Cricetulus griseus: one gene and its partner. The protein of the gene in region 1 purifies or fractionates together with the protein of each later gene. This does not show direct contact. Links are inferred from orthologs where the notes say so. Each region holds a gene or a part of one and is shown on either strand. Other genes may lie near its edges. The genes, in order: Ctdspl2 and Pdik1l.

Region 1 (3,825 bases):
GTCTAATTTATTTTCAAAATATACCAGATACCAACCAAACTAGTCTAATGCTAGAGACCCTAGGGATCCTAACATTAGTATATACTCAAATAAAAACTTTGCAAAACACTCACGACACATTCATAGTAAATATGACTGCTTCCTCACTTGTATTCTTTCCACCCTTATTCTTTGTACCCGAAAGATATAGCACACTCACCAGATCTAAGACCAGGGAGAACTCTGGTGTGCTTCTTGTTTTCAAAGGAAGAGCAGGTTTCCTATTTAGCTGTTCTTCTGTCAGTGGTGGAACATGCTTGATGAAATAATAGCTATAAATCAAATTTTAGGAAAATTTCAACATTTCTGTTTCATGTATTTCAAACACTACTAAACTTAAATTTTAATTAGCTTGGGATGTGGTCAGCTACACAATTCTTGCTATACAATACAATGTGCAAGACCTTGGGTTTAATCCCTACAGTACAGCTTGTCTTCATTATCTATCCCACTGGATTGTTAGATTGGCACAAAAGGAACTGCTATGTCACTCAATTTTAAATTGCTGTAACTAGACTCAAACACATCTTAATTGATCCCAGTAAGAACAATCAATATGTTTTCGACTACAAGGACTGTTTGCTTTTTTCTATCTTTCATCTCCTGAAGACCAAAGAAATAAATCTGTTTATTCCTATAGTGCTGCAGTTCTCAGCCTGTGGGATGTAACCCCTTTAGGGATCCAATGGCCATTTCACAGGGGTCACATATCAGATATTTATTTACATTATGATTTATAACAAGATTACAGCAATGCATTAATTTTATGGTAGGAGATCACCATGATGTGAGTAGTATTAGGAAGGTTGAGAACACTGCTCTAGTGTAAAACATCCAGGCTTCAGGATTCTGAATTCTCTGCATGCTGGTGTTTGCAGAAATGTTTACCCTGAAAAAAAGCTATTTTGAAGTCCTATGGAGATTTCAGCCTATCTGCTAGACTGCAGAGCAGGGATGTAATGCTTTTGTCGAGGCTCAGGAATCTGTGTGATCAGGTTTGGTGGCAACAGACAACCAAACCCTGACCATGACCTTTTTTTGGTGTGTTTGACTTTGGGGAGGGGCTCTGAAGCTTCTTCTCGTCCAGACCCTGGGTTCATCTGCCAGTTGTGGTATACAATAGACCTCTCTTTACCTGTCACAACTGACAGGGAAAATTCCTTGAAGCTTAAAATAAGGGAGGATATCGGCCTAATATAACATTTTTTTCTTTTCAGTCACTTCATAAGGCACCCGCTTATCAAACCTTTTTACGTTTCCAATTTATTTCTAATACCAAATGACCATTGAATATATAGTTACTTAGCAACTTCCTATATAACTGTAAGAGATTCATGAGCAATGATTGATCTCAATTGGTCTTTGTCAACTTCTGCTGTCCAGCCACTAGCTCCTTCTCGAGTCTCCATTGGAAAACATCATGAACCACCACTGCACTGTATGTTTACTAACAATTTCTAGGCCAAATATGCTACTGATAGAGCACATTTTGAACTCAAATAAGAAAATGGCTTGAGCTGGGTGGCACATGCCTTTAATCCCACCACTGAGGAAACAGGAGGATCTCTGTGACTTCAAGGCCACCCTGGTCTATAAAGCAAGTTACAGGACAGTGGGGCTACAGAAAGAAACCCTGTCACAAAGAAACTAAACAAACAAAAAAATAAAATGGCTTTAATTTGCTTTTTGTTTCGTATCATTTCCATAGTATAAAATAAACAGTATGGGCCGGACATAGTGGATCACACCTTTGATCCCAGCACTTGTGAATTTGAGGCCACCCTGGTCTACATTTCAAATTCCAGGCCAGCCAAAGCTACGTAGTGAGACCCACCTAAAAATAAAAAGCGTGTATTAATAAAGAAATGTACATTAAAATGATTTGTAGGATAACCTCATTTATTTAAGTATTCCAATATCAGATATATTTCAACATTGCAAAGATTGCAAATTACTTTTGTACCAATCTAACAGAATCACCTAGAAGACAGACATCTCTGTGTGTCTAAGGGTGTTTCCTAAGACATTTAAGCATGGGCAGCACTGTCCCATGGGCAAAGGAGAAAGCTAGCAGCACAGAACATTCACTACTCTGCTTTCTGATAGCAGACACAAAGTCATCAGCAGGGCTGGAGAGATGGCTCTGGCTGTTCTTCCAGAGGTCCTGAGTTCAATTCCCAGCAACCACATGGTGGCTCACAACCATCAGTAATGAGATCTGGTGCCCTCTTCTGGCCTGCAGGGATACATGTAGGCAGAACACTGTATACAAAATAAATAAATAAATCTTTAAAAAAAAGTCATCAGCAGCTGAATACCCCTATCTGCCACAGTTAGCAGGGTCTCACTGCCACAGTTCCTGCTATGAGGGACTGCATCCTTAACTTAAGATACTAACCAAAACATACCCTTCCTAAGTTGCTTCTTGTCAGTTACAGCAATGAAGCAGTAACTAATTCAACACTTCACCCAGTAAACTAAATTTTGAAAACACATAAGTAAAAGTATACAGATTAGTGTCTCCAAAACTCACTTATAAGTATTATACCCTACCTACAGGTCAAGCTCTTATCATGGGATTTATCTCCCATGTTTACAACAAAAATAATGTAAGTTTAAAAATGCATATGATATACCTAGACTAACAAATATAGTACTAACAGAATATAAAGCCTAAGTTAAACAATGCAGAACATCAGCTGTCTGCCCTCGTGAGAACACAGGATAAGTCAGAGATAGAGTTCTCTGCCCAACATGAAAGAGTACCCTGCTATGTACTGCCACTTAGGAAAAAGTTGAACTTCAAAATTCAAAGTACAGTTTCTACTGGACAAACATCATTTTTCAGTTCCATCATGAAGCTGAAAATCATTCAAGAAAGAAAATTCAAGAAAGAAAATTTAATAACTACAAAACAACTCACGGGTCAAATACTTCCCAGTCTTCCTCATAGGTGGCCTCTGCATGGGCTGAAGAGTAACCACTCTCTGGAGTTACTGGTGCTATTTAGTAAGAGGAAAAGAAGATTACATTCACTCATCAGAAGTTTCCGACAAAGTACACATTTTTACTGTCTTTATACAAGAGCTTCTTGAGGTCCTGTATATTTTAGATTAAAGATAAATAATTTATCAAGATTTAAGATTTAAAGACATTCAGTAAAACAGATTTAACTCTATATCCAAAAGAAATTACTACTATCAATGACATAGCAAACTACAAAATGGCTAGTAGAATTAAGATTTCTATCAGCTAATCGGAAATCTATTTATTATTACTGTCTAATAATTACTGTCATTTTCAGCAAGAAAAATGAGCATAAAATGAATGTGCTAGCTAGTTTTTTGTTAATTCAACAAGCTAGAGTCCTTTTAGAAGGGGAAACCCCAATTGAGAAAATGCCTCCATCAGAATGGCCTACAGGCAAATCTATGGGCATTTTCTTGATTAATGACTGGTATGGGAATGTCTAGTGTACTGTAGGTGGTGCCATCCCTGAGAAGTTTCATATAAAAAACAAAGCTGAAGCCGGGCGTTGGTGGCGCACGCCTTTAATCCTAGCACTCGGGAGGCAGAGGCAAGATTCCAAAACAATACAGAGAAATCCTGTCTTGAAAAAACAAAACAAAAAAAAGCAAAGCTGAGTGAGCCATGAAGGGCAAACTGATAAGTAAAAAGCTGCTCTATGACCTCTGCGCTTCAGGTCTGTTGTGATCTTCCAATAAGATAAAATGAAAAAACCCATTCCTTCAATTTTTTTTTTTTTTGTGTGTGTGTGTGTGTGTG
Region 2 (3,825 bases), on another chromosome or scaffold:
GGGATTAAAGGCGTGCGCCACCAATGCCCAGCAATAGCAATTAATTTAAATATAAACTTGTCAGTTACTCCTTCTTCAGTGGCTCAGCTCTGAATCTTCCCTTTTCACACTACCAATCTAAAAAGATACCATATAACAAATAATTTAAAAGCAATTTTAGTCTTTTCATGAAATGATGAGCTAGAAAGTGGTAGAATTCAGCTATATTACCTATATAGAAAATGTAGGCCTGTTGGGCACTTTCCAGAATAGAGCTACTTAAAAATGTTACTTCTTGACTCAGAAATTTACCATGTATTTAGTAAGGGCAAAGGTGGCCTTCTGAAGTGCTAAAAAACATCTTTTAAAGGCATGTATAAAAGCACTGATGAAATAAAATATTTCTGATGTTTCCAGTTAGAGCTGGAGGCTGGGGCTGGACTTCCCTCAGCGCAGAGCAGAGCTTCCTAACCCTTCCACTTGTAATCTCTCCAGAGAAACATGTGCATGACCCTGGGCATATAGGTGTGTAAAACAGATCTACAAATAAACATGTACTGGTAATGAATCATAAATAATTTCATTTTAAAGCAATTCTTTGGTATAGATATAATTTCAGCTTTTACTAAAGTAGGAAGCAAGTTTATACACAACTGAAGTGAATGTGCTTGTTTATTTCTACATAAAGAGTTAAATCTTGGGTCTGGCATTGGTGGCGCATGCCTTTAATCCCAGCACTTGGGAGGCAGAGGCAGGTGGATCTCCATGAGTTCGAAGACAGCCTGGTCTACAGAGCATGTGCTGATAGAAGCTCCAAAGCTGTACAGAGAAACCCTGTCTCAAAAAAAACAAAACAAAACAAACAAACAAACAAAAAAACGAAACAAAGAGCTACTAAATCTTAGGCTGGCAAGATGGCTCAGTGGGCAGTGATGCTTGGATGTAAGCCTGACAATCTTAGTTCCATCCTCAGGTCCCATAAGGTGGAAGGAGAGAATCAGCCTCCAGAGTTACCCTCTGACACGTATGTGCTCAAATACTTGAGAGTACACAGATAAGAAATTAAATCCATTTAGAAAAAAATATTTGGTGAATATTTGTTGTTGTGAAACAGAACATCTTCAGTGTTTTCCACAATTGATACTTTTATTTTATGACCATGATTGGTGAGAACAGTGTTTCATATAAATAGGTCAGTACAAAATAGTAGATATAAATTTAGGCAAGTCAAAAATTGTTCACACTTCTGTCCTCACAGCTTTCAGTGGCCCTTCTGTAGTTCTGGGATCCCAGGTGTGTGCCGCCAACAGCAACTGCTAAAACCAAACCTCTCTTTCTCTCAGTCTCACTATATAACTCAAAATCCAGCAGGCTAAACTTGCAGTCTCTTGAGCTAGGTGTAGTGATAACACACCTGTGATTTCAGCACTGAAGATGGAAGCAGGAGGGTCAGAAGTTCAAGGCCAGCCATGACTATACAGTGAGTTTGAGGCTTTCATGAACTATTTGAGACCATGTCTCAAAACAGAGGAAAAAGAAGAGGAAAGAAAATCACACCCAAATTAAGCATTACACGAAAACATAACCCACTGATGGACTGCGTTGCTGATTAATGGCAGTAGAAAAATATCAGAAGTCTTTGTTTACCCCAATGAAACCATTATGTTTCTATAAGAGCAGACAAATATATATATAGTAAAACAATATAGCAGACATATATATATATATTAAAAAAATGCTGTAATTTGGTTTTGAATTAATTTTTGGTAACTGAAAATTTGTAGTTAAACTTTTGACTGTTGGCAGTTTGTTTTGTGTGTGTGACCTCCTACTTTCTGTGTAAGAGACCCTTGCCTTAATGGTCAATGGTGACTTTAATCCCCAGCACTTGGAAATATAAACAGGCAGATCTCTGTGAGTTCAAAGCCAGCCTGGTGTATAAAATAAGTTCCATGACATCCAAGGACACACAGCGAAACCCTGTCTCGAAAAATCAAAAAGAAAAGAATAAAGAAACCCGTGCCTGCCATGTATAAGATCCAACTGACCTAACTTTCTTTTATTTTCAAGACAGGGTTTCTCTGTGTAGTCATGGAACTCTCTCTGTAGACCAGGCTTGCCCTAACTCACAGAGATTCTCCTGACTCTGCCTCCCAAGTGTTGGCACCACTACTATCCAGCTTGGGTTGGTAATTTTTTTTTATTTAATTTTTATTTATCTGCATTGGTGTTTTGCCTACATGTATGTCTGTATGAGGAAGTTGGATTCCCTGGAATTGGAGTTAAAGACAGTTGTGACCTAACATGTGAATGCTAGAAATTGAACCTGGGTCCTCTGGGAGAGTAGCCAGTGCTCTTAACCACTGAGCCATCTCTCCAGTGCCCCCCATTTTTTTTTAAATTTTACTTTTTGATTTTGCATGACAGGGTATCTCTGTGTAACAGCTGTAGTTGTCCAGGAACTCTCCTTGTAAACCAGGCTGGCCTCGAACCCACAGAGATCCACCTGCCTCTGCCTCCCCAGTGCTGGGATTAAAGGTGTGCACCACTACCACCCAGCTAAATATATATATATATTATATATATATATATATATATATGTTAATTAAGATGTACAACCAGGTGTGTACACACCTTTAGTCCCAGCACTGGGGAGGCAGAGGCAGGCAGATCTCAGAATTAGAGGTCCACCTGGTCTACAAAGCAAGTTTCAGGGCAACCAGGGCTATACAGAGAAACCCTCTCGCAAAAAAAAAAAAAAGAGTTATTAATTTTTAAGTATGTTTGTGTGGAGGGAGGAATATATGTGTCAGTGCAGGTGCCCTTAGAGTCCAGAAAAAGTATTGGATTCCCCTGGAGCTATCATTACAGGCAATTGTGAGACACTGACTTGGGTGCTGAGGACCTGAAGTCCAGTCCTCTGAGGGCATTAAGCTCATAACTGCTGACCCATATTTCCAGCTTCCTTTAGCCTTTCTTTTTTTTTTAATATTTATTTATTTTGGTTTTTCGAGACAGGGTTTCTCTGTGGCTTTGGAGGCTGTCCTGGAACTAGCTCTTGTAGACCAGGCTGGGCTTGAACTTACCCTTTAACCTTTCTATAGTCAAATTTTTGTAATAACTTTTTCTCCTACTCCTTCTTCACAGCTTGTAGAGACTTCATTAAAAGGAGAAATTGCCTTTGATCCCAGAAGCGCCTATTATTTGTGGTTTGTGATGGATTTTTGTGACGGAGGAGATATGAATGAGTATCTGTTGTCCAGGAAACCCAATCGAAAGACTAACACCAGCTTCATGCTTCAGCTCAGCAGTGCTCTGGCTTTCTTGCACAAAAACCAGATCATCCACCGAGACCTGAAGCCTGATAACATCCTGATTTCTCAAAGCAGGTTGGACACCAGTGACTTGGAACCCACCCTGAAAGTGGCGGATTTTGGTCTAAGTAAAGTTTGTTCAGCATCTGGGCAGAACCCAGAAGAACCTGTCAGCGTAAACAAGTGTTTCCTTTCCACGGCATGTGGAACAGATTTCTACATGGCTCCCGAAGTTTGGGAAGGACACTACACAGCAAAAGCTGACATCTTTGCTCTGGGAATTATTATCTGGGCGATGCTGGAGAGGATCACTTTCATAGACACAGAGACAAAGAAGGAGCTCCTGGGGAGTTACGTAAAGCAGGGGACCGAAATTGTGCCTGTTGGGGAGGCACTTCTGGAAAACCCCAAAATGGAACTTCTCATCCCTGTGAAGAAAAAGTCTATGAATGGACGAATGAAGCAACTGATTAAGGAAATGCTGGCTGCAAACCCTCAGGATCGTCCGGATGCATTTGAACTAGAACTCAGA

Evidence for each region.
Region 2: the proteins of Ctdspl2 (region 1) and Pdik1l purify together in Homo sapiens (affinity purification with mass spectrometry; 4 studies listed by BioGRID and IntAct, counting the BioPlex papers as one, with this or other methods). This does not show direct contact. The link is inferred for Cricetulus griseus from reciprocal best matches to the Homo sapiens genes CTDSPL2 and PDIK1L.

The regions. Positions count from the first base shown.
Region 1 is NC_048599.1:56,446,525-56,450,349, forward strand, and holds part of Ctdspl2 (CTD small phosphatase-like protein 2), read right to left. Parts: intron 3,042-3,825; coding exon 2,963-3,041; intron 312-2,962; coding exon 200-311; intron 1-199. UniProt on the Homo sapiens protein: Probable phosphatase.
Region 2 is NC_048595.1:19,030,452-19,034,276, forward strand, and holds part of Pdik1l (serine/threonine-protein kinase PDIK1L), read left to right. Parts: intron 1-3,126; coding exon 3,127-3,825.